Tamandua tetradactyla: one gene and its partners. The protein of the gene in region 3 interacts with the protein of the main gene of each other region in a biochemical or structural test. Links are inferred from orthologs where the notes say so. Each region holds a gene or a part of one and is shown on either strand. Other genes may lie near its edges.

Evidence for each region.
Region 1: the proteins of PLCG1 (region 3) and ERBB3 form a complex in vitro, tested with the Homo sapiens proteins (2 studies listed by BioGRID and IntAct, with this or other methods). The link is inferred for Tamandua tetradactyla from reciprocal best matches to the Homo sapiens genes PLCG1 and ERBB3.
Region 2: the proteins of PLCG1 (region 3) and BAG3 form a complex in vitro, tested with the Homo sapiens proteins (2 studies listed by BioGRID). The link is inferred for Tamandua tetradactyla from reciprocal best matches to the Homo sapiens genes PLCG1 and BAG3.
Region 4: the proteins of PLCG1 (region 3) and EEF1A1 form a complex in vitro, tested with the Homo sapiens proteins (2 studies listed by BioGRID, with this or other methods). The link is inferred for Tamandua tetradactyla from reciprocal best matches to the Homo sapiens genes PLCG1 and EEF1A1.

What each region holds. Positions count from the first base shown.
Region 1 is NC_135333.1:123,144,784-123,152,187, forward strand, and holds the start of ERBB3 (receptor tyrosine-protein kinase erbB-3), read left to right. Parts: upstream 1-4,388; 5' UTR 4,389-4,541; coding exon 4,542-4,623; intron 4,624-7,404. UniProt on the Homo sapiens protein: Tyrosine-protein kinase that plays an essential role as cell surface receptor for neuregulins.
Region 2 is NC_135339.1:82,090,700-82,098,448, forward strand, and holds the start of BAG3 (BAG family molecular chaperone regulator 3), read left to right. Parts: upstream 1-4,748; 5' UTR 4,749-4,784; coding exon 4,785-4,970; intron 4,971-5,143; exon of another isoform or gene 5,144-5,184; intron 5,185-5,218; exon of another isoform or gene 5,219-5,715; coding exon of another isoform or gene 5,716-5,718; intron 5,719-7,749. UniProt on the Homo sapiens protein: Co-chaperone and adapter protein that connects different classes of molecular chaperones including heat shock proteins 70 (HSP70s), e.g. HSPA1A/HSP70 or HSPA8/HSC70, and small heat shock proteins (sHSPs), e.g. HSPB8.
Region 3 is NC_135327.1:11,016,361-11,023,408, reverse strand, and holds the start of PLCG1 (1-phosphatidylinositol 4,5-bisphosphate phosphodiesterase gamma-1), read left to right. Parts: upstream 1-4,036; coding exon 4,037-4,253; intron 4,254-7,048. UniProt on the Homo sapiens protein: Mediates the production of the second messenger molecules diacylglycerol (DAG) and inositol 1,4,5-trisphosphate (IP3). Plays an important role in the regulation of intracellular signaling cascades.
Region 4 is NC_135331.1:129,525,707-129,533,041, forward strand, and holds the start of EEF1A1 (elongation factor 1-alpha 1), read right to left. Parts: upstream 3,008-7,335; 5' UTR 2,985-3,007; intron 1,981-2,984; 5' UTR 1,946-1,980; coding exon 1,802-1,945; intron 1,551-1,801; coding exon 1,371-1,550; intron 1,192-1,370; coding exon 895-1,191; intron 817-894; coding exon 666-816; intron 581-665; coding exon 324-580; intron 246-323; coding exon 11-245; intron 1-10. UniProt on the Homo sapiens protein: Translation elongation factor that catalyzes the GTP-dependent binding of aminoacyl-tRNA (aa-tRNA) to the A-site of ribosomes during the elongation phase of protein synthesis.

The DNA of each region.
Region 1 (7,404 bases), on a different chromosome or scaffold from region 3:
CATTGGCAGTTCTTTCAAGTGGGTTTTATGTCCCTTTGGGAAACCCTTCAACATTGTGTGCAAGTATGTGTGTGAGTTTGAGTATTTGAGGCTTGAACACTTTTTATTACTTCCTAGGGCTACAAGAAGCTCCAGGTTCCCATTATATATCTCCTGTCCCTGTCCTAGAATCGTCATTTTCCTAAGGGCTCCTGGCTCCTTTTATTGTATATTAGTACTAGAAACCAAGTTTTGGACACTACGTTTTTGCTTCTGTATTTATGGGAGAGATTCATCTTTAATTTTCCTTTCTTATCACATCTTTATCTTCTTTAGGGATTAAAGGCATGCTTGCCTCACAGATGAGTTAGGATTTGTTTCCTGTGTTTTTATTTTCTGGAAGAGTTTTCCATGTAATATCATAATTTCTTCCCTAAGTATTTAGTGGGATTTACCATTAATACTATGTAGGCCTTTATTATTTGGAAGACTATTAAATATTGATTGAATATTTAATAGATACAGATCCATTGAAGGCATCAAATTTTCTTTCTATAAGTTTTTGTAGCTTATGGCTTTCAAGGAATTGGTATATATTAACAATATTATCAATTTTGAGGTAGAGATGTTCGTAATGCACTTTTAAAAATATTTTTAATGTCAGTGGAATCACCAGTGATAATCCTTCTTCAATTGCTGAAATAGCTCATTTGTTTCTTCTCACATTTTCTTGTTTAGTCTGGATCTATAGATTTTATTTATCTTTACATAAAACTAGATTTTGATTTTGCTGTTTTATTTTTATTTTTTCCCATTTTCAATTTCATTGATTTCTGCTCCAATTTTATTTTCTTCAGCTTGCTTTACATAAATTGCTCTCCTTTTGTTTCATCACTTCAAGTTGAGTGGTTCTATCACTTTGCAAATAAAAACTCCTCTCTAGGGTGGTGTGACAGTGGCTCGGTGAAAGAATTCTCGCCTGCCAAACAGGAGACCTTGGTTCAATTCCTGGTGTCTTTTTCCGTATCCTCTTGCTCACTTTAGTTCTGCCACATATTCAGCAAAATATTCTCTTTATAAGGAACTTCCCTCTATGCCTGTTATTCCCAGCTCATAAAATGGCAGTTGTATCTCTCTAATTTCTCAGGGCAAAAAGCTAGACAGCATCTTTAATTTCTTCTTCTCCACCTCTTCTGACACCCATTACACAATGCATCATCAGTCTTATGACTTCATCTCCTGTATAATTCACCATGACACTCCAGTTCAACATTTCATCACATCCCCGGGGTGACTTCTTTCTGCATCTCCAAAGGCCTAGGCTGAGCTGTGAGTGCTGAGATGAGGAATGCCGAGCTGCTTAGCCGTGCTACCTTGTGATCTCTCATTTAAGCACCAGCCAATTAAGTCAAACGTCAATCATTGCAGCAGACAGGCCTCCTAGCCGACTGCAGATGTAATTAGCAATTAGGTACCATTGGCTTATGTCCGCAGCAACAAGACTAGGTATGCTCACCTGGCCAAGTTGACAACTGAATCTAACTAACACAATAGAATACCTAGCAGCAGTCAGAAGCAAAGGACTAGAAGGCCAAAGAGTCAAAAAAAAGGTTGTTTGTTTTATTTTGTTTTATAAGATGGTAGCTGTCATAGCATGTTCATATGCTGATGGAAATGATCCAGCAGACAGAAATATTGGTAATACAGGAAAAAGGGGGATAATTGCAGGAAAAACAGTCCCCAGGTTTTGGACTCCATACCTGGAGCATGTGGGGATGGGGTGACATTTGGCCTTAAAGAGAAGCAAAGAAACTTCATTGTAACAAGATGGAAGTCAGTACATAACGTGTGGATGGAGGTAAATGGGTCAGGTTGGTAATAGGAAGAAAAAGATGTTTTATTTTGATTACTTCTATTTTCAGATTAAATATGAACCAAAATCATCAGTTAAGAATGAGTGTTGGAAAACAGCAGAGAGCTTTCACCAATAAAGCCTCCTTTCCTTTCTGTATTTATTCAGTCAGGCAACATCCAACAGAGATGGCTCCTTATAGGACAGCTCTTTCCAGTGTTTATATGCTTGATGCTTAGCATGATGTCTAAATATTGAAGAATGTTTGGTGTTCTTACCCAGCTCTTGAGGAGTACGGATTGAAACAGCCCTAAAACCAAAGAATATGTCAGGCACAAGTTAGACATGATGACCTGCCAAGAGGAGATTCTTCTTCCCAGCGTCAGCCATTCGGAAATGGAAGTCAGCCCCCCAGAAAGGCGGGGGTACAAAGGGACAGCTTATAAGGGTTCAGGACAAGGACATTTCATAGGGTATGAGAACAGAGTTTTAGCAGGGTCTCATGACACGGGTTTGGGAATTTCTTATCAACATATCAGGGAAGCAGAGTTTCAATGATTTACAAGATAAAGGGTTTAGTATACCATCTGTACATTCTTTTCCTCCTCCTGAAGATAACTTCTTTCTGTCACGTAGGCAGCTACATGCAATGAGTTACTCTCAATATGGAGGGGGAGACCCGGCCCTGGGTCGCCACAGGTAGATATCAGCAAGCACAGGTTGGGATCTAGTTATGGAGGGTGGGGTAGTATTGATGATAATATCACTAAATGCAACTATTTAGTTCATCGAATACTTCTTAAAGGATCGAATCCGGTAATTAAGAGCTCTACCTGCCTTTTCTCATTAAATCCAAATCACGACCTGTTTGCAACTGTTTATTTATAAAAAGGAAATCAAGGATAGCGGAAAATTTGCCATCTGGAATTCAAATTTCAGAATCAGGGCCCTGAATACTTTACCTTGAGGTAAGGGAGTGATTCAATGAAAAGACCCTTTGGTCTGGGGGATAGTAAGTGAAGATGGAGACCCCCTAAATTCTATTAGCCCAGTTATCTCCCGAGAGTTTGATTCTGAGCAGAGGAAGCTTCCGTCTCAGCATGAAATCCTAGTCAAACATCCTGATTCCACTGTCACCAGAGCTTCTATTTCCAGTTCTATCAAACATGTTGCCAAGCTCACATAATTTTTGTCAGTGAAACATTCTCTAAGGTACTACATTTGAAGAAACAGTTTGCAAATTAAGCGGTCTAGGTATTTATATGTCAAAGGTGTCGCTGTTACCACTATTATGGCTAAGAGAGTGGTCTAGGTGGGGGTCAAAGCCCTCTATGTTGCATATCAATACCGAGCAGGTTTAAAGAATTTTTGCCGATCAGTGTTGGTATGGGGGAGTTTTCTGCATGAAGGTTTAACTGTTCTGGAATTATTGGGGAAAATTATTCGGGTGTCTCTGCGAGACCCAGGATTGAAGTGCCCCGGCTGCCCCCCAGGGGCACGGGTCGGGTCCGCTGGGGTCAGGCAGGGTCTCGGGCAGCCACCCGCCGGTCGCGCGGCGGCCTCTGACCTAGATCTGGGAGGGTGCCAAGGGTCCAAGTGATTCGTGGACCCGAATCACACAGTCTCTAGTGCCCTCTGTTCGTGCTCCTTCATCGCCAACCCCCTCCTTTCCAACGAGAGCACGCACTTGGAAAGCTCCGGGGAGGGTGTGCGGGAGCGCCTAGGGAGGGGACTGTGTGCCGACCTGAGTCCCAAGAAGATCCGTCGGGAACTGGGGCCGCCCCGACGGCGCGGTCAGACTCCAGGGTGGAAGGGGAGGCAGCTGTTCTCCCAGGCGGCCGTGGGGGGCAGCAGAGCGGACGGCGACAGGTGCGGAAGCCCCTCCCGGGGTGGAAATGCAAAGGCGGGCTCCAGGGTCTGTTCCCAGGCTGGAAACCACCCCCGCCCCCCAACCAAATCCCCCGGAGAGGCCCGGCCGGCGCCGGGTCTGGAGGAGGAAGCGGCCGGAGACAGTGCAATTTCACGCAGCCTCTGGGGCTCGGGTTCCTGGGCAGAGTGGATGAGTTATGGGGTATCGAGCCCGGGGAAACTGAGGTGGCCGCACATGAGGCAAAGAACGCCCTCTCCCTTCGAAAAACACACACAGAGGGAAATATTCACATTCAGGGAGAAAATCCCCAGGTGATCCAACCGGCTGGGGGAGTTGAGCGATCTGGTTAATGGGCGAGGCCAGATTTCAGAGGGCCGGGCTTTGGAGCGCTCTCCCCACCCCCATTACATTTTCCAGGATTTGGGGGGCATTTGGACTCTCAGTCTCCTCTTAGCCCAGCTCGCGAATGAAAAGTAGGATGGGAACTTCTTAGCCTGCTTGACTAAGAAGAGGGAGTCCCCAGGTTGCGGGGCACTGGGGCGCGGGGCGCTCTTGGGGCGGGCGGTCGAAGGCTCCCGCAAACCCTACTCCCGCCCCGCGCGGGAGGAGGCGCGGCCGTGACTCACCCCCTCCTCCCTGTGCGCCCTCCCTCCCACTCTTATAGACACACACACCCCTTCCCTCCCATCCGCCCCGGACTCCGGCTCCAGTTGCAATTTGCAACTTCTGCTGCCGCCGCCACTAATTCGCTGGCGGCTCAGGTGGCTCCCGCTTCGATGTCCTAGTCCAGGGGCCCTCGGGCCGGACTCGGTTGAGCTTCCCTCACTCTCCACCGGAGTCATGAGGGCCAGCGCGCCTCTGCAGGTGCTGGGCTTCTTCCTTAGCCTGGCCCGGGGCTCAGAGGTGGGCAACTCGCAGGCAGGTAAGCGGCGCCGGAGCCTTTGCAGGCTCTGGAGCTGGTGCCCCAACCGAGAGCGTGGAGCCCCTCAGGGCAGGGGCAGGGTCTCAGGCGGTGCGAGACTGGGGATGTTGGCCCCAGGTTTGCGGGGACCACCTGGGAGGCGATGGCCAAGCTCAGAGGTTAGGGTTCTCGGCGTCCGCCGGGCGGGGACGGGATTCGTGGACCAGCCCCCTACTAGCGCGTCGCCGACCCTCTAATTCGTCCCTGGTGATAGGGGCAGTACCCACGTAGTAGTTTACATTTCTGAGGGACTCTACGGGGGCAGGAGCGGGGACCTCCGTCCTGTAAGCGCCAGGAGATGGTTGGAGATGGGGACCTGCTCCCCAGCCCCTTCCCCCTGAGTTTCAGCCACCTCCAGTTTCGTTGTTTTGCCGACAGGGCGGAGCTGCGGTAGGTTTGGGGTGTGGGGTGGGGGTGGTTGTTGTTCTCTGGTGTTGGAAAAACAGGAGCGGCACCTCCTCTTCCGTGAGTTGGCCTGCCCTGGGGGGGGGGGGGTGCTGAGTTAACGAGAGGGCCAAGTCCAGGTGACATCAGGGTGAGAGGCCCAGCAGAGGCTGCCTGCCCGCTTTCCCTCAAAACAACAAAGCTGGCTGGTCTCCGCCTTGACCAACTTCTCTTTGTCAATACCCAGGTTAATTCAATATTTATTGAGCATCTACTATACACAAGGCCCTTGGCAAGAAGCTACAGAGGCAGGACTTCCAGACTCTGTTTCTCCTATTTGTCTTTTTTACCCCCAACCTAAGATCCAAGAGGACACTTCTACCACCTCCTGAGGCTCCTGTTCTGGGAGTCCTTCCCAGGCCCCACTCCTTACCCCTATTCTGTTTATTTGTGTTGAAGAGACAGAGTCTCAGATTGCTCTCTATTCCTCTCTGGACTCCCATGACATCTGAGCCCCTTTTAGGTGTCTCTGAGACCACAGATACCTGAGGGGTGCTGGAACTGGAGAAGTCCTATTGATCTCCCTTCCCCCAAGTTTCCAGCTTGGTATTTGGCAGAGCCAGGGCCCCTTCCCCAGGGTGGGAGTGGGAGAAACACCTGTGCTTCACCCACAGTTGCTGGGCCTAAATTTAGACCCTGGGATCTTGAGATTTGAACACTCCCAGCTGGTGAAGGGCGGGGGTCTGGGGATTGGAGTACGAGGAAGTAGTAAATTGACTGTATCTCTGTCCTCGGAATCTTAAACGGAACCCTGGAGTCCGAGATTCTGGCCTCTGTCTCTAGGGGAGGCAGGAGGCAGGCATGGTTGGGTCTTTTTACCCTTTATCTGGATTCTGCAGCCTCTGGGCATCCGGCCCTGTCTCAGTCCTTCTATAGCCCCTTTGTCCCTGCTGGTTGTGATGGGGGTGGGGGTTGAGGAGGGGTTGGAGATTCTTGCTGTGTCCCTCCCCCAGAGCTTTCTACCAAAGGAGGGCCTGTGACACTGCCCCTCCCCATGCCCCTGGCCTCTGGCTACAGTCCAAGGTTTTACTAACTCCAGTCCCTCTGCCCTCTCCTCAGGCTGCCTAGTTCGTCCCCAGAGGTGTTATTTATACTCTCTCCCCACCTAGGCCCTTTGCTCCCTGTTTGTGTAATATGGACTTTACCCTCAGAATGGTGGAGGACTAGAGATGTATCTCTAATACTGTAGCCTTCCAAGCATAGACACAAAGTCTTCACAAACTCATATGGGCAGGTGGGATGGATGGGGACACCTAAATACTTCCCATGGGGACACCTAAATAGTTCCTAATCAGGAAGACCCCATAGAGAGCCCTGGGCCAGCAGAGGAGGTTTGCACACGTGTGTGTGTGTGTGTGTGTGTGTGTGTGCACGCATGCATACATATGCCACTTCCTTGTGTAGAAATCTTGGCTCCTCCCTTATCTGGGGAGAAGGATTGGCGCCTTGACTTGGAAGAGGGGGTGTCCTGCCAGGAAAGGGATCGGGGTGGAGCTGTTCTAGAAATGACTAACCTTCATAGTCTTTTTCATTTCACCCAAAGGACCCTGGAGTCCCCATGCTTCTCTGGGAGTTCCTGACCTGTTTACCTCTTTGTTGGGTCTAGCTCACCCCTGCGCTTGGTGGGTAGTGTTAGGAAAGGGAAGCCCTCAAAGGTCAAGTGGTCAGACTTGGGGTGGATCTAGGGAGAGGGACTTAAGCCTCAGCCATCTCTCCCCCCACCCCCACTCCTGCCTCCCACTAAGCTGGCACTGCCTCAGGGAAGGGTGGTTGGAACAGGTGGTATCTACCTTCCCCCCCACCCCACGCACAGTCTTTCACTGAGTCAGAGGAAATAGACAGGGGTAGGGGTAGACCAAGAGTTCCAGAGCCCCTGTATCTCCCACATAGATAAGGTAAAGTGGACCCCAAGATGACATGCTTCATGTCCCTCTCCCCTAATGCAGGTAAGGATTGCCCTGTTGGAAGGCCTGGCCTCTTAATGAAACCCTTCTAACAATGAAATTGGGTAGAGGGCTTGGCGGTTCTGCTGCTGCTTCCCTTCTGGCTTCTCTGCATTTGCTGAAACTAGAAAGTATCAGGCAGAGGGAGCTGAAATGTGTTGGAATAAGGGAAAGGAGCGAGAAGGGAAGCCAGGGTTTGGGAATAGGATGGGGAGAGGGGTAGGCAACCAGCCCCTTATCTTCCTGCTTTAAAGACAAAGCTGCTATTGACACGCCCCCCTCCGTTCCGCCAAAGTCCCCTCCCCCCACCAGTGAGGTCATTTGTCTGAACCCAAGACTTGAGGGGCCGGGTGCT
Region 2 (7,749 bases), on a different chromosome or scaffold from region 3:
ACAAGCCATTGGGAGGCTTCCAGACTGCTTGGGGAAGGCAGTTTTCTTCAACTGAGCCAATCCCCAAAGGGGACTGACAAGGGCGCGTAGTCTTCCTGCAGCACTTTGCAACTGTGGGAATAAGACTTGCATCACAGCCTCCTCCCAAAGATTAAATGAGATCATTGACATAAAACCTTTAACAGAGTACCCAGAATACAGTAAGCACACTCAGTAAATCATAGCCATTACAATTTTCATTGTTGTTTTTACTATTATTTGCCCCCCATAATAGATGGTAGAGAAACAGTGGAGATGAAGGGTCTGCCCCTGACCTCAAGAGAATTAATCCATGACAAATCGGACAATCAGACAAACAACTGCCATGCATGTAGCTGAAAGGGTGACACAAGATTTGCACGAGAGTACTTAGAAAGGACACAAGATGCAGACTAGGATGAGGGAAGGGATGCCAAAGACTTGAAGACCAAGAGGAGTCAGGCCAAGGGAGTGGGAGGTAGATGGGGGTGGGAGAGAAGGTACCCAGGTGGAGGAAGAAGCGTGTGTGGAGGCAAAAGAAAGCGCAGGGTGTGCATGATTTAATTCAGCAGGGTGGGTACATAGTGAACACTGGGGATGGGGGTGGAGGGGGGAAGGACCTGGGTACACCAGGCCAAGGAGTTTGGACTTTGGTATACAGAATGCAACCAGGAGCCATCAAAGGATCTACTCAGAGAAAGGACACCACCCATTTTGCGCTTGAAAAAGGTCACTGTGGCTTCCTTGTGGGTCATGGAGGGGAGATGAACAAGACTTGAGGCTGGAGACCCATTAGGAGGCTGCTGCTGGAATCCAGATGAGAGATGAGGGTGAACTGGGCCAGGCTGGTGGCAATGAAGATAGAGGAGAATTGACAGAGTCAAGGAACATTTAAGAGGTGGAGTCTACAGACTTGGTGATGATTGGATAGTAGGAGAGAAGAAGGAATCCAGGGTGAAGCTCAGGCTGGGAAAATAAACTTCAGAAATCTTGGGGAATGTGTACCCTAAGACTGGAGAAATTGCTACTTTGATTTAAATATATATATATATAACATAGTGTGATGGTTAGGATTATTTGTCAAGTTGGCCAGATGATGACGCCCAGTTGTCTGGTCAAGCAAGCACTGGCCTAACTATTACTACAAGGATATTTTGTGGACTGAAATTATCAGTCAGTTGATTGCACCTATGGCTGATTACATCTTTGATCAACTAAGGGGGGTGTCTTCCCCAATTGGAGAATCCAATCAGCTGGATTTAATTCAGTCAGTTGGGGGGCTATTAAGGGAGAGGTGAGACTTCAGCAGTCAGAAGAGAGAACTTTTATCTCTACCTCAGCCAGCCAGCCTCTCCTGGAGAATTCATTGAAAACCTTCATCAGAATTGCCAGTTTGCAACCTGCCCTATGGAATTTGGATTCCTGCATCCCCACAGTTGTGTGAGATACTTTGTAAAATCTCATATTTACAGATATCTCCTGTTGGTTCTGTTTCCCAAGAGAACCCTGACTAATACACATAGTATATAATGGATACTATATAATGTAATAAATAACATAAACACACAAAGTAGACTATACATTCCCTAAAGGGAAGAGACCATGGTATGTATTCAATAAAAGTAATCTGGTTTGTTAGTTATCTGAATTACCAAATTTTGTAAAATAACCCAACTATTTTGTATTCAATTTTACCTTTCTTAGATGGATGTGAAGGTACTTTGCATTCATCATTGTGAATATTTACTTGTCTTGTGGAACTTTATAGCTATAAAGGACTAAGCTAAATTAGGGCTACCCCAAGGCATGCTGGATGGACTTTTGGAATCATTAACTGATATCATCTCATTCACTTAAGCATTTATTAAGCAACTTTGATATGCCAGGCACTAGGTCCTGATGATACCAAGAAGAATAAAAGCCAGTTCCTGCTCTCAAGGAGCTCACAGTACAACAGAAGACACAGAAAAAGAAAACAATTCCTGACTTTTTAACAGGCATACGACAGAGAACTACACAGAGTGATTCTGGGAAAGGCAATACCCTTAGACTGGCAATATCAGCGTGTTTTTTGTTTTTGTTTTTTGGGGTTTTTTCCCCCACGAAAATAGAAGAAATTCTAGTTACTCAAGCTTTGGAGTTAGTTGATTTGATATGTAATCCCTCAGATTATTCCATAAAACAAACAATACCGTGTTCCCTTTCTCTCTGTAAAATAACTTACCAAGTATATTGTGGTCAATAAGCAATACAGTAAGTTCTTCCAGGAGAGACAGGATGGAAAGCAGGACTCTGTCTCATTTGGTGGCAAGAAACCCTCTAACCAAGTCTCCCCATGTAACTCATCTGGTTACATCTTTCTGAACTCTGGAGCAGTGGCTAAAGCTGATGGGAAAATCTGAGCAAAAGTCAAGACTCACTGTCTGGAACTCGGTGAAGAAATACCCAAGTTTTATTCTTTTTTCTGGTCTGTGTATCTGAGGCCTCCCATTGAGGCTATGTCACAGGCTTCTGGATTAAGACAGAGGTTACTCTTACCAGTGAGAAATTCTACAAGAAATCTGTAATAAAGCATAGCCTGAAGAAACTTCTAACCAGCTTTTAAGACTCAGGGCTCTGTTTTAGACAAATCCATAAGTCCCTCGTGGCACACAACCCTCAGAAGCAATTAGGTTAGTTCCAGAGAAACTTGCTTCCTCCCTGCTTCTGTCTAGCAAAAGAAGAAAAGGAAAGGAAAAAAAAGATCAGCAAAGAATGCCGTCAGTACTTAAACTCACACTGTAGTGGAAAGTAAATTGAGCAAAGGAAATAGGAATAAAAACTCACTTTGGATTCCTCTTCAATGAACATCAACATTTACTGAATATGGATTCTGGACCCAGCCTTGTGCTCAGGGCTTCAGATATGAAGACACATTAGACACCACGAGTGACATGAGGGTCCAGGGCCTTCAACAGTAATATTTCTCATGGTAAATCAGTGCATGGCATTCGGGTTTATACATCAGTCTCTTGTATGTTTGGTGAGCCGACACAGTCCTTGTAGTCTAAATCACCTGCATGTTTTCACAAAATTGAATTTTGGGACTTCAAAGCTGCTAAGTATACCTTTGTAAGTGGTGATCATTCCACTGGAAATGATTGATAGGCCTTCCTAGCTCTAGAAGGAGTGAGCTAAGCATAGGGAGAGGCAAGGGGGTCTCTTAGAGTTCCAGGATATTCTCTGAATCTGAGTTGGAAAATTGGGCCTAACATTAGTCCAAAAAAGCTTCCCAGTGAATGAGTCTGCATGCCCAAAGATATAAAATGGAACCTCCCAAACATTCTCTTTTCTGGGCAAAGACCTCCCAGGTGACTCAGGGTGCTTAGTTGAGGTTACAAATGCAACCACCTTTTAATCAACCGAACAAATCTTTTTACTGGTAAAAAAGATTTGGCCCCTACTTCCCAAATAGAGGTCACAATTTGCAATTTTATCTTTCAATCTGGTAGCAAAAACCAAACTCTACTTTAAAAAAATAATAAATTAGAGGGACCAGGATGGTGGAGGGGTGGGGAATAGGTAATTAAGGCTTGGGTACAGCTCCTGTTAGGGTGATGTCAAGATTTTGGCAAGGGACAGTAGTGATGGTAGCACAACATTGTGAATGTAATTAACACCACTGTATTGTATACTTGAAAGCGGTTAAAGTGGAAAATGTTGGGTACATGTTACCACAATTTTTTATATGTGACTTTTCTTTAGAATTGTTCACTGCAATGAGAGTTTCTGTATTTGAGACATAAGATTCAAAGAGAATAAAACCATGGTTTTTCCTTCTTCAGGTTTCAAAAAAGAAGGCAGGTGAGTTTCCATGGCACTTACATTTTCTGCCTGACTTTGTTGATGGTGTCAGAGCAGTCTTCCAGAACTCCTCCCTATCAGTCCCCGGGCCCCAGGAAAGCACATGATTTTCCTAATATCAGTGTATTGGGGCGGGGGGCAGCGGGGGGGAGTGAGAGAACTGTAGCTAAAAACCACCCAGAAGGTTCACAATGCCTTCGTTTCTATACGAAGGTGGGGCAGCCGCCACGCAGCGCGGACTCCCACCCCTGCGAGGAACACCCACGCGGCGCAAAGCAGTCTGAAAACCGAAACCGGTCCTGGGGACACCGGAGGACGCCCCCGGGCGGGGCCCGCGGACCCAGCTGACCACCAGCAGGCGAATGTCGCGAAGGCGTCGTCGCTCACCCCCGGGCGACCTCTGCCGGGCAGCCCCAAGGAGGGAAAAGAGGAGGAAGGAGGGCTCCGGGTGGGAGGAGGGGCGGCCGGCCCCCCCCCAGGCCCCGCCCCGAGGCCCCGCCCCGCCGCGCCACGCCGCGCCATGATTAGAGCCGATGACTCAGGGCGGAGCTCCGCATCCAACCCGCGGGCGCCGCCAAGTTCTCTGGATGGGACCAGAAGTTTCTACCCGGCCAGTTGCTACGTCCCTTTATCTCCTCCTTCCCCTTTGGCAGTGAGGAAGCTATTTCCAGACCCTTCCACCCCTCTCAGGCCACGTCACCCCCTCCTTTAATTCATAAAGGTGCCCGGCGCCGGCTTCCCGGACACGTCGGCGGCGCGCAAGGCTCACACTCCGGCGGCGGCGAGGTCCTCGCAGCGGCGGCCCAGCGACTCGGCGCCCAGGAGGCCGGCACCCCGCGACCCGGGATCCCGCGCCCCAGCCCTCGGGGACCCCGCACTCCGCGCTCCGGCGGCCGCCACTCCGAGCCAACCCCGCGCCCAGCATGAGCGCAGCCACCCACTCGCCCATGGTGCAGATGGCGTCCGGCAACAGCGCCGGCGACCGCGACCCGCTGCCTCCGGGCTGGGAGATCAAGATCGACCCGCAGACCGGCTGGCCCTTCTTCGTGGACCACAACAGCCGCACCACGACGTGGAACGACCCGCGCGTGCCCCCCGAGGGCCCCAAGGTGAGCCGGACCCGCGCCACGCCCCGGCCGGCGGCCCCACCTCGACGGGGGAACAGGCCCGGCCCGGCGGCGGCTGGACTGGGTTGGGCGAGCGCGGGGCTGGCCCCAGCTCCCAGGTCCCTGCACCGGGGGTCGGGGCATCCCACCCCGAGCTCGCCCTGCTGCGCTTGGCCAGGCCTTGAGAGGCGTGGGGGTGACGGAGTGCCCCGGAGAGGTCAGTCCTCACCGCGCCGCGTTTGATTTTGCGAGGGGATTGAGGGGGACGGGGAAGTGCGACCCGGGACGGGGTGGAGGCATGGGCGTCAAGAGCTGTCCCCAAGTTCCCGGGCTCGGAAGGGGCGGCGGGCCTGGTCAGCGGGAGGCCTGGGCCCGGCCCTGCCGCCGGCTCTGCTCCGCGTCCTGAGATAGTCGTTACTGGAAGGTTCTCTCATCCGCCGACCCCTGGTGCCTGGGGGATGGGCTTTTCCGAATTTCCCCCTCTACTTCTGGACAACTTGGTTGACAGTTATTTTGACCTTACTCTCCCGGTTCGCGGACAGAGTGACTCAGGACGCTGATATAAGTAGTCTCTTTTTTTTTCTTTTTAAAATTACTGTTGTATCGTTGTTTGAGGATTTTTTTGAGTAACATTGAGTTTCAGTGTGATTTGTTAAAAACAAGATGCTGTTCTTCCAGGCAGTTGGCCCTTCCCTTAAGACTTCGCCTCAACTGGAGAGAAAGAGAATGATGATTTTTGTTTGTTTTAATGGTATGTGTTCCCTTCCTTGTAATGGCATTAAAATATTTAGGATTTGTTTCCCATACACAAATAACTAAGTAATAATACTTATATACAGCAGAAATATGCTTCATCTAAATACATGTAAGAGTATTTACTTCTTAACCCTTAGAAGCATGACAGTTTTTATACATTTGGTAATTTAAAAAATTATAATTAGTTGTATTGAAACAATTTTCTACAAATTAAAATTTTTCAAAATAGAACGTTTGCAAAAAATAGTGTACTTAAAGGGTAACTTAATATTGTCTGTGCAAAATAAAAGCAGTAGAAACTGGTAAATTATTTTGAAGATTTAAAAAGTCACAGTTAAATATGCTTTGCAAGGCTTTATTTTAGAAGAAAGACCTTTATGATGTTCTGCACCTTTTTCCTTTAAAATATTGGTAAAACTCTCGTGTCCAAAAGTGATGTATCTTACACTCAGCAGTTTACATTTACAAGGAGTTAATTGCATCTTTATTTCTGAAAATTAGATCTAGAAGGTGTAATTAGCTGGGTTGGACATAATTATATGCACCTTTTTGTGTGTTCTCCCTGTAGAGATGGGCTTGTTAGAAGCTGCTGGCACCCTTTGTTTTCAGTGAAGATCAGGTTTAAACAAACACTGGGAGTTCAGTATGAGACCCAAATTGCCAGCACTTTGTTTTCAACATGGAACTTTCTCAGGGAGTTGGATTGCTTGCTGCTTTGCTTCCCGTACCCGCCGGGTGGATGGGTTAGGCTGTAGTTTCATAAAACTTCTTGAGGAGAAGAAACAGACCGAATTACAATAATTACTTTAAAAAATACATATAGAAAGTAAGAGCTACTAAATCAGAAGTCTGATCCTGGGAAAGGTTAAATACAATGTAAAATGCACAGTGAGCAAAGGGCCCCAGCTAAGAGGACATTCCAAGCATCCTCACCTTTAAGAGGAAGTGTTGTCAATCAGAAGCTATTCCTTGAGCATCTGCAATTTGGGAAGTACTTTTTCTGCAAGGACTCAGCTTCAGGATGTTTAGGGTCTAACCGTGTTGGTAAAGAGGTGGCTTTCATGGAAGGAAAAGACTAGAACTTAGTGTTTTATTTAGTCATTTATACTCCATCTTCTCACAGCTGACTGTACCACCTTCCCCTGAAGTGGTTAGAGTGATTCTTTCACCCCCGTTTTTCAGAGGAGGCAGTGGAGGTCTGTTTTACCCTTCATTGCAGAGCCGGGAAGGTTCGAGACAAAGGTGTTGAGTTTTATCCACCTCCATTGTAAGCTGTGGCACCTCCCCACCTGCAGTTTTCTGGATTTCAGTTTTCTACACGCTTGGGCTTCCCACGAACTGCCTGACAAGTTCCTATCAATCCAGACCCCTTTCCTGGCAGAGAGGTTGGCATTTGCTTAGGAATCAGGAAACCACTCTTTCCTGGTCTCCTCCCTGAATAAAACAGGTTGGGTATCTTGGAGTATCGTGCACAAACCTCTGGCAGGAGAAAGAGACCCTCCTCTCTCAAGGACCAGTGCTGCGAATCTCCAAATCTTAGAGGTCGTGAGCACTGATTTCCAAGCCTGGCTGTGTCTGGGGGAGCCTTTTAAGAACACAGATTGCCTGCTGCGTCATCAGCCCCACCCTGCTCCCCCCATCTCATCCCTCCAACATGTTTAATCTGAATTGTTCAGGGTGGGGCTCAAGAATCTCTGAATTTAAAATGCCTCCCTCAGGTTTCTGTTTACCACCCTGGCAACAGGGAGCCCCTGAAGGACTGTGATCCCCGTTTTGTAGAAGAAGCTGCTGCTTACTGTGCCCCTGTCTGTAGACCCTGGGCTCCTTCCCAAGCAGTACCTGCTTAATATCTCCCCGGCAGAGCTTTGCTTGGCGCCGCTTTTCTTGGTGAAACTCGCCCAGTGCCTGGTGTAAGGCTTTGGTGGGTGTGAGTATGCAGGAGGCGTGGTGAGGGAAGGAAGACAGCACCCCACAGAGTCTGGCAGGGTGGCTGTGCTGGGCATAGGGAAGTGATCAGACAAGATGT
Region 3 (7,048 bases):
CATTAGGAACAGACAAATGAATATTGCTTCATCATTTGTTGTTAATATGTTGAGGACATTCTCCACTATTTCAATCAAATAAGTTTCCATGTGAGAAACTTATAATTTAGGCCCAGGAAAATGTTTCTACCCCCAAGAATCAGAATAGAAAGAGCTTTTGCCTTGGCTACCACTCATGGCAGCTACGTTAACCTATGTGGTTATTCTATCATCTTCTTATGACCCCGTACCCATTCTTATAGGACAATATTTTTGACTCTTGTTTTAAATACCCAACTTTTTTTTAGCGGTTGGAAAATAATACATTTGTGGAGGGTAAGGAAGGACTTACAGCCCCAACTGCTGTGAGAGCCACCTGCAGAACACCTTCAGCTGTTGGCTCCCTCTAAGGGAGCCCTCTGGCCCTGTGCTCTTCCCAGGGCAGTCCACATCCAATGACTGGTTGAGGCGGGGCTATGAAGACCAGCCAGTCCAGCCCTAGCTGGACAACAGAACTCCCTGAGGGTTGGCTGAGCCTGTCATCAGGCTCGCATCACAGCTTGATTTCTCCCTCTGCCCACTCCTGTTTCCTTCCTCTTCCTTCCACAGTATTGATCCCAAGGGCACTTCCAAGTAAACATTCTGCACACTAACCTCTGTCATAGAGTCTGTTTCCGAAAGAACCCAACTGCAACAACATTTAACAAAATAGAAAACAGATTACGTAGTGTTATTATGGAAAGGCGTGAGGATATACAATAAATGCTTATACATACACAGGAGGCAACACAGCATTGACTCTGGAGCCAGGTTGCCTGGATTTGAATCCCATCTCTGCCACTTATTAGCTGTGTGACCTTGGGCATATCCCTCAACCTCCCTGTGCTTCAGTTTTCTCATGTGTAAAATGAGGATACTAACAGTGCTATCTCAGTGTTGTAATGTGGGTAATGCTGTTACATGGTGTTTACTACGTGCCAAGCACTGTTCTAAGTGGTTGTTAAATAGAACAAAATAAATCTGTGAGGCCAATCCCGCAGGGCCGGAGGAGCAGCTGAACGACTTCTCCCCAATTTCCAGGCACAGGCACTGGTGTAGGCTAGGGCATGTTGAAGCATGAGTGTTCACAGAAATAGGCCCAAGCACAGCTTGCCCGGGTGATGTCACGGATGTGTGCTTGTGTGGGTGCTGGGGCTACTCCCTCCCAACCTGTGTAGCTACACGTATTGCCAGTAGCACCCACGTACTCATATTTTTACTGAGCTTGGGGAAGCCCAGGCCAGCTACACCCTTTGTTGCCCTGTTTTTCTAGAACTGCCTTTGGCAGAGGGAGGCACCTGAGACCTGGGATGCTGGTCTAGAAGTTCCAGGAGGAAATGGGTCTTTGTTTCCTCATCAAGGGACCTGGCAGCAGACTCAAAGCACAGGCTCCAGGTGGCAGGGATTTCTGGAACCCCTGTGGGCCCAGCCCCAGCAGCAGAAGCAAAAGCAAAGGAGTATGGTCTGCACACTGGGAAGCATCCAGAGAATGGAGAAACAGATCTACAAAGTGCAATTCAGCCCAAGTCAGAACAGGGAAGTTTAACAAGGGCTGAAGCGTTTAAGAGGGGATCTTCTAGGGAAAACGGACAAGGTCTGGTTAGGCTGGTAGAGGGGGGGCTCCCATTCAGCCTTCACCTGCCTTCCTCCTTATCTCCTTATTCCCTACTCCCTCCCTTACTAAACTCTGCCTTCTTTCTATTTCTAAACTCCCCAAACTCTTTCTGGCCTCAGGGCCTTTGTACATGCTGTTTCCTCAGCCTGGAAGGCACTTTCCTCCAACCCAGCTCTAATAATTCCCCTGAATATTTCTAATGAATCCTAAAGAGACCTTCCCTGTCTACTTGATCTGAGGTAGGTCTCTCTAATGTTTTCTCTCACAGCCCCCTGTTCTTTTCCTTCCATCACAGTGTTTCTTAAATTAATGTCTGTGAATTCTGGGCCCCTTTGTCCTCCCAGCTTGTGGTTCTGACACCTGGCAGAGGTGTGCTCAGGTTCTGTAGTCAGGGACAGTACCTCTTTAAGCCCAAACAAGCCCAAGCTGCACCCTATGAGCAACCATGTGCTGCTGGATGCTATGTTCTGCCTCTTCTCACCCATACTGACGAACCAGCTAGCTCTATGCCCCCTGACTACTCACTGCCATGGCCTGCTTAAGCCAGGGATTCTCCTGTGAGGCAGAAACCACACAGCATCAGACTTGAGTTCAAATCCCAGGGCATCGACTTGTTTGTTATGCGGCTCAGGGCACGCCGCAGACCTTCTCTGCATCTCGGCCTCCTCAGTAAAATGACAACGATACTGTGAGATCAGAGAGTGATTGTGAGGATCAGGTGTGATCACAAGCACAGACCGTGAGTTCCTTCCCTCCTATTCTAAAGGGCCGTCGCTAGGTGGCAGTCCATCTCAGCTGCCCCATATCCTCTTGGGCCCAAGCTCCATGAAACTATTAGGACAAAGCTTTTCAACTTCATGCTGGAATTCTGAGCTTTTTAAGAGCCATATTCAAGGGAATCACAGACAAGAACAAATGCACAAAAAAAGTTACCACTACACCAAGACAAGGTCAGAGGCAGCTCCAGGCACGGCACTAGTTCTTGTACAGTTCGGTTACCAAAGTGAGCGCCCACTCTTCTAGCCTCAGTAAACCTGGAAGCTGCTGGATGCTGTACTGGGCCTCTCAGCCCTGACCACCTGCCTGGCTCGACGCGGTGCTGTGACAGGGGGCTGCTAGAGTGCAGGGACGAGTCCAGGGAACAGCTTCAGAAAGACAAAGCGTGTGATAGTCAAACCACCACAAAAAGGCCTTGTGGCTGGGGAATGGAGAGTGAAGGGAAGGAGACGAGAGGGAGGGAATGGCAGGCCTTCTGGGCCACAGCCAGGAGTGTGGTTTTTAAGTGCAATGGGAAGTGAGGGAGGGCTTCAGGCTGGACGAAGGGGAGCATGTTTTAATTTCATTTTAAAGATGAAAGCATGGGGAGAGGATGCAACAGACGGGAAGCGGGCAAGACCGAAGGTGCGCTGAGGTGGATGAAGGACACTGGGACTGCGGGACGAGAGGCCTTGCAAAGAATGCTCAGGCCTGGAGGGCGTCTTCCACCGGGCGGCTCTCGAGGACCACGCCGGCCGCAAAAGCGGGACAGGAGTGGGTCTGGTTAGCCGTGGCAAGAGAGGCCCGCCCGCCAGCCCCGCACGGCCAGAGGGGAGGAGGTGGGACAGGACTGCTGCCCATCAGCAGCCGCCGGCCAATCCGCAGACGACCCCGCCCCCACCCCTCCCCTGAGAGGGCGCACGGAGGGCCCGCCCCCGCCGCCGCCGCCGCCGCCGCCGCCGCGGGTGTGAGGCGGCCCGGCCTGGCTCCCTCCGCCGGGCATCTCGCCCAGGTAACTTGGTTTGGCCGGGCGGGCCCAGGAGGCGATCTGCACCCTCTTATCTCCTCCCCGTGGCCGCGCGGGCGGCCCTTGGCGAGTGGGGCGGGCCGTGGGGGCTGAGGAAAAGGCTGCGGCTGGGCCTGTGCGGGACGGCGGGCTGGGCGGCCTTCTGTGCCGGTGCGACTGACCGACGGGGCTGACGGCCGGGCCCTGCAGCCTGGGGGCGGGGCCGCCGTGCGGGACGGGGGCCGTTCGTGGCCGTCAGGCTGCGTGCGGGCTGCGCGTGGAGACTCGGAGGGACGACTGATTGAGTGGGAGCGGCGTGCGCGCGCCCGGGGCCATCACGCCCCGCGCCCCCGCCTGGGGCCTGTCCGGGGGTCGCTGGGCGCAGGCGCGACGGGCCGGCGGGCGGGGGTCCTCCCCACGCGCGCGCGGTCGCCTTTGTTCCCGGCGCGCGGGCCGGGGCGGGGTCTGCAGGGACGCCCCGCCCCCTCCCGCTCAGGCCCCGCCCCTCGGTCTCCGCCCGCAGGAGCCGCCGCCGAGTCCCGCTCGCCGGCCGCCGCTGCCGTCGTCGCTGCCTCTTGCTCCCGGCCGGCCGGGCCTGCGTCGCCGCCGCGCCCCTCGCTCCGGCTCTCGCAGCGGGAGCCATGGCCGGCGCGGGGTCCCCCTGCGCCAATGGCTGCGGTCCCGGCGCGCCCTCGGACGCCGAGGTGCTGCACCTCTGCCGCAGCCTCGAGGTGGGCACCGTCATGACTTTGTTCTACTCCAAGAAGTCGCAGCGACCCGAGCGGAAGACCTTTCAGGTCAAGCTGGAGACGAGGCAGATCACTTGGAGCCGCGGCGCCGACAAGATCGAGGGGGCCAGTGAGTGCGCTCCTCCGGGGGCCCGCTGCGCGCGCGGGGGCGGCGGGGAATCCGGGCCGGGCTCCGGCGCGCCCCGGCCGGCGGCTGGAACAACTCGGACAAACTTTCGGCCCTTCTCCACCCCCTCCGGTCCCCAACTCGTTTCGGGTGGTCACCGGGGGGGCGGGGGTATCCGGATCCTCGGTCACCTGACAGGACACCCCCTCCCCCAGCTGGCCGCGGCCAGCCTTTCTTCAAAAAGAGCGGTCTTAGTGAAACTGGACCATCAGGCCGGGGCTCTCATTTGTAAAGGAGCCTTTGGGTTCCCTAAGGAGAACTTAGGAAGATGTTGGGGGAGGACTGGTCTTGGAACAGAGCCAGGCTTTCTCATCCCCCTCTTGGGAGGAGGGAGGAAGGTGGTCCTGTTTGCTTTGGAAAAGCCGCAGAGAAGGCAATGGCTGCTCTTTCCTGCTGCTCCTTTTGTCCTGAAGCTGAGTTTTGGAGGCCTGTGTGGTCAGCAGACACCCAGAGCCAGGGCAGGGACTCACAGTGGGTCCAGCTCCCTTGAACTTGGGAGCACATTCCTAGGAGCTTGACCTCAAAAAAGGCCAGCCTGAGTGCCTTGGAGTCAGGTATTCTTTTCAAGAATGCTCACCCAGTTTGGAATTAGCCCTTTTTGTCCTGGGTCCGGTGGTTGCAGGGAGCTGGGAGCCAGAAGCTGTTGCTCTTGGTTTCCTGCCTCTTTCCCTTCCCAGTCCTGAGCTTGGCTGCTTTGTGCAGGTCTCTGGTGGGAGTTGGAGGATTCTGTAAAACCCCAAATCTTTGGGAGTTTTACTCTGTTTAGTATGTGCCTGTGCTGTGGCCGGATGGGCACTCTGCTCTGCCCTCCATTTCCCCACCTCCGAGTGTGGAGAGATGATGTGACTGCAACTGTAGGCTGTGGTTTGCTTCCTGCAAGGACCCCAGCCGCTCCTGTTAGAGAGCCATGTTCAGAACCAGGTCCATGTGGAGGAAGGGGGTCAGGAAGTGCCGCCCCCAAGGGAGGCTCCTCCAGACCTTCCTGGCTAGGGTGTACATGGGCTGCAGATGTGCTAGGCGATTGGGAAGAAAGAAGGAAGGTCTTGTGAGGCAGCCAGCCACAACTACAGACTCCAGATCTGACAGAGCCGCTTGAACCGTACCCCCATCTTAGCTGTCCAGTCACTGGGGGGAAGAGTTAGGGTGAGGTGGCTGTGGACCCCAAGGGGAGGAAGGACAGACACTGCCAGCTTTGGTGGTGCCCCCGTAATGTGCTAAATTTGGTGGCACTTTAAACAGTGGCTGCCCATCAGGCAGTAAGTGTAGCACGGTGGTTGGAGGTGGGCTGTGTTTGAAGCCCAAATATGAGTGTGTTCCCCAGCCAACCACTTCTCCGCACCTTAGTTTCCTCATCTGTAGAACGAGGGTATAGTATATCCATTCATATAGTGTTGCCGTGGGGATTAACTGAGATCACTGATGGAAAACATCCAGCACGGTGCCTGCCATGTGGTATATGTTTAGTGCATGGGAGCTGTTATTAATAAGCATAGTGTGGCCGCCCTCCTAGACCCTGACTGGGGAAGGTTGAGGGAGGTAGAGTGTGGCTGCAGGAGAGGATGAGCTTGCTAGGAAGGAAGGAGGTTGGGGACCAAGCTCACATTTACTTAGATCATTACCTTGAAATAGGGAGGAAATGGTTTTGCTTTGCCCCAATCCATCTCCACCCCCCACCTACCTACCACGTAGAATGGTATTTCTGCAGGGAAGGTATTTGACTATCTTTTTTCTAAGTTGGGGCCTGAGAAGTGTGGAGGGGAAGTCTAGTCCATGGTGTCTCAAGTCTTTGGGGACTGGAGGCAGAAATGTGGATTGATTACCCTATTCACCAAGGATGGGGTGGCTAGATGTGTACAGATTCAGTGATCTCATCAGGTAGCTGTGGATTTGAGAGGCCTGGAGGGGAGTAGGCAGAAGGTGTGGGAGGGGCCCCAACCCTTCATTTTGGGGGGCTCAGGTTGAAGGAGTCTGGGTAAAAAGGCTTGTAGGTTACTTGAGCAGAGCTCAGTTCTTGTCAGTGTAACCTCCCTCTGAAGCCTTGCCTTGCTTCTGCCTGTGCATTGGGTTCACCCTCTGGTGGGCTCCAATCCCTGCAGCCTCCTCTGCAGGCTCCGATGGGCTGTGCTGTGCTGACCAGAGGGCAGAGGAGAGTTGGGCTGCCAGCTCGGCCCCCTGCTACCTGGCCTCTTGCCCAGGGGCCTCAGGGGCCTGTCTTTCCCCTGCTGACCCTGCCAGGGTACCATGCAATGCCTGTGGCCTGGCCAGAGAGAGGAGCGTTTGTGTCTGTGGGCCGGAGGAGAAAGAGTGTGGTTCAGTGAAAGTGCATGACGCTCGTCTGTCAGACCTTGTCGTGTTCTAACTCCACACCCTCACTTGACCGCCTGTGAAGTGGGGCTAGCACCTGTTGATTTCTAGGGCGGGGGGTTTGGCTCAAAGGAGGAGTGGGGAAGTGCTTTGGTTGTGGTGGTGGTGTAACAGGGACCAGGTTGTTGTTTGACTTTTTTGTTGCAAATACTGACATAAGTGAATGAAAAACAATAGACTGCCTGCTGGGTTCTGTAGACTTAGTTGTGTGTTCGTGGCTAACTCTCACAAGGGTCCATCCATTTTACAGATGAGGAGATGGAAATACAGGGAGTGGAGTATGTCACAGGCGATACTGCTAGTGTGAGACAACCCTGGTGGGACCCAACTCTCCAGCTAGTGGCTGGCCAGCCAGTCCCAAGATGACTCCAAAC
Region 4 (7,335 bases), on a different chromosome or scaffold from region 3:
CCATCCTTACCCAGAGGAGGATAGTCAGAGAAACTCTCAACACACATGGGCTTGCCAGGAACCATATCAACGATGGCAGCATCACCAGACTTGAGGAATTTGGGACCATCTTCCAACTTCTTGCCAGAACGGCGATCAATCTTCTCCTTCAGCTCGGCAAACTTGCAAGCAATATGAGCTGTGTGACAATCCAGCACAGGTGCATAGCCAGCACTGATTTGACCTGGATGGTTCAGGATAATCACCTTTAAAAAAAGTTTAATTTAGTGAGTCTCAGGCTCTGCAACAATTAAGAAAACGTAGCAATTAAACTGTGTTGTTACCTGAGCAGTGAAGCCAGCTGCTTCCATTGGTGGGTCATTTTTGCTGTCACCAGCCACATTGCCACGACGAACATCTTTTACAGACACGTTCTTGACATTGAAGCCCACATTGTCCCCAGGAAGAGCTTCACTCAAAGCTTCATGGTGCATTTCAACAGACTTGACTTCAGTTGTAACGTTTACTGGAGCAAAGGTGACCACCATGCCTGGTTTGAGAACACCAGTCTCCACTCGGCCCACAGGCACAGTACCAATACCTAGATACAAAGTATTATCAACATCTTATGTGAAAACTATATTCTGGGTACCCCCCCCTTAAGTTACATCTTAAATTCAGCTTACCACCAATTTTGTAGACATCCTGAAGAGGCAGACGCAAGGGCTTGTCAGTTGGACGAGTGGGTGGCAGGATGCAATCCAGAGCTTCAAGCAGCGTGGTTCCACTGGCATTGCCATCCTTACGGGTGACTTTCCATCCCTTGAACCAAGGCATCTAAGAACAAGAAACTACCAATTACTGACATCAAAAGACACTCCAAAGCTTTTTAACAATTCTCAAAAAGTCACTTACATTAGCACTTGGCTCCAGCATGTTGTCACCATTCCAACCAGAAATTGGCACAAATGCTACTGTGTCAGGGTTATAGCCAATTTTCTTAATGTAGGTGCTGACTTCTTTAACAATTTCCTCGTATCTCTTCTGACTGTAAGGTGGTTCGGTGGAATCCATTTTGTTAACACCAACTATTAGTTGTTTCACACCCAGCGTGTAAGCCAGAAGGGCATGCTCTCGTGTCTGCCCGTTCTTAGATATACCAGCTTCAAATTCACCAACACCAGCAGCAACAATCAGGACAGCACAGTCAGCCTGAGAAAAGTCATATCCTGTTAAATCAAAGTTCTCCTCAAAGTTATCAAGCTGAATTTAGATGCTACAGAAGTGTTCAGAACAAATCAAGGCCTTGCATTATTGAAAGCTTTCATTAAACTGAACCCTGAAAGAGATTCTAAACGCAGTTATGTTTCCAAGTTATTAAATTTACAAACCTGAGATGTGCCTGTAATCATGTTTTTAATAAAGTCTCTGTGTCCTGGGGCATCAATGATGGTCACATAGTACTTGCTGGTCTCAAACTTCCACAGGGAGATATCAATGGTGATACCACGCTCACGTTCAGCTTTTAGTTTATCCAAGACCCAGGCATACTTGAAGGACCCCTTTCCCATCTGTAATAGAAGAATGGTTACTTGTTAACTCAAACAGTATCAAACCCCATCTTGAAATTCCACTTTATAAACTGCAAACCCTTGGAGGTCTTAGTTTAATTTCCAAAAATAGCTACAAAGCTAAGAGCCTCGCAGAAAGTCTTTGCTGATCATTTAGAAAAATGTACTAACTGGTCAACCTTTTAGAAGGTACCTTATGTTTCAGCTAGTCAACTTTAGCATTCTCCCTTAACCATCTTTCCCTTTAGTACCTCAGCAGCCTCCTTTTCAAATTTTTCAATGGTTCTTTTGTCGATTCCACCACATTTGTAGATCAGATGGCCAGTTGTGGTGGACTTGCCCGAATCTACGTGTCCAATAACGACAATGTTGATATGAGTCTTTTCCTTTCCCATTTTGGCTTAAGATGTAGTGATGGCTTTCACGACACCTAAATGGGGGGTGGGGGCGGGAGAAAAACACCTCTTAACCACCATCCGAGAAACTTAAGCCGCGATGGAAACTAAAAGGGCAAACTCCAAGGAGAACTACCTTCCAATTGCCAACCTGGCCTAACTAGTCTCCACCCACCAATGTGGTGACTCCATTGCAGAAAATCCCCTCCCCCCAAGCTGAGGAAACCTTCCTCCGGAGCGGTAGGGGCCACAATCGAAATGACATGACTATGCCCCACTGCTCCGTAGGATCACAGGAAGCAGCGTCTGACAATGAAAAAAGGCCCTTTTTCTTTGTGTGGGTGACTCACCCGCCCGCTCTGCCGACCCGCCGCGTCCTCCATTTTGAGCTCACTACAGCACGGCCGAGGAGCCGCCATCTTTCCGAGCACGCAACTGGTGCCGAGCAAAAACCGACCTCACTTCTCCGGGGGGTGTGGGGGGGGGCGGGCAGACTGGGCACCGGAGCCGCTGGGCCAACCCCATTATCTCACCCCTCGCCCATCCGGTGGCCGCGCCCCGAGGAGCCCGCCTCGGCTGGCCGAGGCCGCGCCGGACATGTGCGCGGGACAACTGGATTCCACCACCCTCCACGCCTCGCGGCAGTCACACAACCCGAGGAACCCGACGACGCGCCCGATAAAGCCTTACTCTTGCCGAGGTCCTGCCCCAACAACGACTAAACTACCTCAATGAGAATATACCCCAACTGCTTATTTAAGTCAAGTGGCCGAGGCGTAACGAGAAAGACGCGAATGAGCGGCCAGATTCGCGCGCGGCAGCCCGGGCGCCTAAGCCAGGCCTCACCTGAAGCAATAAAAAGGGCTCCTGAGAAAATCCAAGGCCTCGAATTCTCCCACCTTCTTCCTCTTACAACCCGAAATTCGGGGTCAAGAACCCCGCAAATGTGGGTCGACAGAGACATAAGTAACAAAAAGCACGCGACAGCTGCCAGCTGTTCAAGGAGGCCCGGCCCAAGGGAGCCACACCCAGCACTTACCTGTGTTCTGGCGGCAAACCCGTTGCGAAAAAGAACGTTCGGGGCGACTGCGGCACTTATATACGGTCCTCCCCCACCCTCGGGAAAAGGGGTGGAGTCAAACACGACACCGCTTCCCAGTTCACCCCGCGCCTCCTCCACCAGGCACCGGTTCAATTGCCGTCCCCTCCCCCACCTCTCTTCTCGGGGACCGTGGGCGATGTGCGTTCATCCAACCAAAGAACACACAGAGTCTGGCGCATGCTCCTCTGGACCCCGACGACGACGAGAAGACAGTGGGTGGGGGGCGGGGACACACAGATCCCTCTGTTCTAGGATAGTGGGAGTTTTACGACGGCCCCTGGGATTCCCTAAAGCAGAGGCGAATCCGCCTTTTGTATGAATTACTCTCGCTCCGGCTGGAGGGTGGGGAGCTGGGCGGCCGGGAGTGGCCGTCCAGAATTTTTCTTTTGCCAGTCCTGGTTTAATCGCAAACGCGGTATCGAGGTTGGAAAATCCCCTTACCCCACATTCTGCTTCCCCTCTTCGATTTTGCCCTCTCGCAGGTCGTAGACAATCCCCAGGAACCGCTTCCTCCGCTGGCTTCATCCCTACCGGGGCTGGCTCTTCCTCCACCGCTGTCCTTCACGCCCCTCCGGTTTGGAAAGGGATCCAACCGAAGCCAGCAGACCCCGGGGTCGCCTTTCCAGCCCCTACCATCTGTAAGGGGTTCAACTCGATGACCGTGGCTCGACGAATCTGTTCTTGGGCACGCAGGCCTCTTGGCTCGTTCCATTCAAAGCCAGCTGCGTTTATCAAAGCCGTCACACGTTCATCCCCTCCCCCTCCGTGTTAATGCCAGACGTCCAATTTTTCGGTTTAGAATAGACCTCGTTTCTTCTAACTCTTTTCCTTTGGCTAACGGGTCACACGCGAGTGCGTATGTGCGTGTATCCTTGTGGTACATTTTCCCAGTGTACTCATTAGACTGCAAACGTGAGAAATGTAAGAAGAATCTTTCAGTCTTTCCACATGATCTCATGTGGTGATAGAAATCTACCAAGACAGCATCGCCAAGCGTATACACCCAGTCTCCTATCCACAACTGGATTTGTGATTTTTTTTAAATCACCGCTTTTCAAAAATTCAAAAATGGCCTATGCCATTTAGGTAAATGGCTTCATTTTCTGTCGTATTGACTAACTGCAGTTTAGCAAATATCAAGGGCGAGATTGGATAAGATTCGACCTTTTTGCCTATCAAGTTAGTCCCTGCGAAGTGCTCTGAGGTAAAACAAAACAACAAAAAACACCTATATTTTTAATGAGCTAATTACTGGATCATTATGTCTCTTCTTCCAAGTATAGAACATCACTGCCCAACTTCTCAGAACTTAAGTATTGTATTCGAGTGGCAATAATTGTCCAGGACTAAGCAAAGGACAGTGAAGTATGCAAAAGAAATATCACATTCTAGAGAGGAACCTATAATCAAGTTGGAAGAGGAAAACTAAGATAAAACGATTGGGAAGCAATTAAACACAAGCTCGTATGTTGCTTACTTTCTAGTTCATGGTAGAATATGGTTCTAATCCTAGGGTTTAGTTATATCTCAGAATTTATTTTTTAATGAACGGTCTTCTAAAATAGCCTTCCTATATCTTTGTAGATAAAACTTTCTAAAATCAGGTTTCTCTATTTTTTCATTGGAATGTTTCTTGTTTCATTTGAGATAAGTTTAATAAAAGAAACTAGGCACAAAGTTTCACTAGCAATAAAGATAGCTAGTATTCTCTATCCACAAAAGCCTTGTCTATAATGCCTGTATTTCTGGCTTCTTGCCTTTCAAAAATTGTTTTTTCACATTGCATTTTCCTAGTGCCCATATCACATATCTTGACAACATAGTCCCTGTTTATAATAAGAAAATGATGTACCAATGAAAATCCATTACCAGCAAAAGAACAACATAAGAATCTCTGCTTTCTTGTTTATTTCCTTGGAAGTGTTCATTAATGACTGTTCTCTATGGAACTAGATTCCCACAGTCAGCCATAGTGGTATGTAACTGTAATACTGACTGCACACTTATTTCAGATAAAGATTAGAGCACCACATAAGATTTATTTTCCGTGCCCCCTTAAGCAGTGTATGCTTCAACTGGTTTAGACTTATATACGCTTGGAGATAATATAGGGGCACATAAAATATTTTAACAGGACTTTAAAAGGAATGGCAAACTTTTGGGAATATAAAAAAAATGGTTATTTAGTGATGAGGAAAGAAATCAAAGACTAAAGAAAAACTGATAGTTGAATATTTGAAAGTTTTTACATGGAATCCAAAACTGTAGCTATCTCAGGAAGAAATAAGTCAAAATGAAAGTGGATATTGGTAAAAGGGAAAGTATCAAAGATAATTTGTTAAGTAAATTAAGGTGAGGAGTGAAACATACATAGATCACTGAAAATGGCATTATAAATATATGTGCTTTTATACAATCCTAAAATTGTAATAACTGGAGATACATATGCTTTCAGTTGAATTGTTTGAACATATGGATCTGCTATAATTTAAGTAGTATTCTTCACATATATGTAGATATGTTTGTGTGTGTATTCAGCAACATACTGGGCACTGTGGAATTCTTGAAAAGATGACCAACAGCAAGAGCTTATAAAAATCACAGTTCCCCTGATTGAAATCCCACCTTTTCACCCTTTCCTAGTATGCCAATCTTAGTTTCCATTAGTTTAAAAAAACAAAAAATTAGCACTTCAAATATAAAGTAACAGAATGACACAAAGATGTTTCTTTGTGAATAATGGCATCCAGCTTCTAATTATGCTGAGATAAAGGAAAAAGGAAGTGCGAATCCAAAGCTATCTCAGAATATAAGCACTTCATAAACAAATATCTTAAAGGATATGCTTTTAAAATGGCACCTAAGGAAAAGGAAAATTATACACAAATCCTTGATTCATATCCAAGTAACCTACTTTCCAGCACCGTCTGGGTGCTCTTATTAATGTTGCCATACTGGTTTCGATTTTGGCGGAGGGAATGGAGAACTCAGTTCTTGTGCCGAAGAACCTTCGAAGCCATCGGAGCCGTATTACCGTGTATTTGGGGTAGACACTAACTAACCCGACGCCTTTTCTCAGGGCAGAGTTCACATTTCTGCTCTGGGCGGGGACCCGGCTCTTCTCCAGCGCTTGGACAGCTGTGGACCCGGCGGGTCCTGCCGTGAGTAACCGGGCGCCTCCTACACTCGGGCTCCGGTCTCCAGAGAGCGGACATAGCTGGGTCCGCCCACCGGCACGCCCCCAGCTTGAGTCAGTTTCTTCAGTTCTCAGACTCCGGAAGGAAGGGCCGGGAAGGACGCACAAGGGCCCACGTGCCTCGGCTTGAGAGTAGGATTTTGTTACCGTGGCAGGTCTCGGAAAGATTGGAGCAAGTGTTATTTAAAACAAAACAACAAAAAACTTTTTCCGGGGCCCTAATGTTTCACTAACGTAGTGATAGCCCTCTTCCCCCCCCCCCCCCCCGCGGCTTTACAGCAGCTAAGTACGCCTTTTATTAACTTAATTGTTAAAATGGTAATAGTAACACGATGGAGACTTAATTGTGGGGGGAGGGGCATATTCTAAAACTGTATTTTACGATTTTCTTTAAACTTGATCATGCCGTTTAGATTGGCCAAGTTAAAATATATTGTAACTAAGCATCTGTATAACCTCTTTTAGGAAGAAAAATAGAAGAATTCATCTATTTACTTAGTAAACGGATGAAGAGTAATACTTCTTTGGTATATATAATTGTGCTTCAACAAACAAGCATCCTTCAATGTTGGCCAATCACACTGCTATTGGGCCTAATTTAAATTGTAAGGGAAGCTTACACTCCCACTCATATAAGGAAGTATGGAAGCCCCTTTTTTTAAATCTAGACCTAACCTGGCTCACATTCCCCCGAAATTACGTCATCATATGATACTGAAGGATTAAGTTTACTAGAAAATGATAGGTGTTTAGAGCATAAAGCTTATTCAATTGATCCCCTCTAGATAAGCGCAGTCAGATATGCAAATTAAGCAGTCAACCCACCCTAATCTGTGATTGGTTAAAAACGGAATGAATAATTATGATAATAAGGAGTAGAAAACTCACCTATACTTTGCTAGTTTCCGAGACTACATTGTAGCTACTGAGTAACCAGCCACTGGTGAAGGGTGGTGGTGGGGGGAAGGGACTTCTCTGTGTTAGGAACTAAGATAAAAGGAGCCTGGCCTCTCTGATACTCTGCTCTTCCTTGCTGCTTATTCCTGTGTGCCCTTTTTCATGAGAAAGGAATAAAAGAGCTTCTACCATACT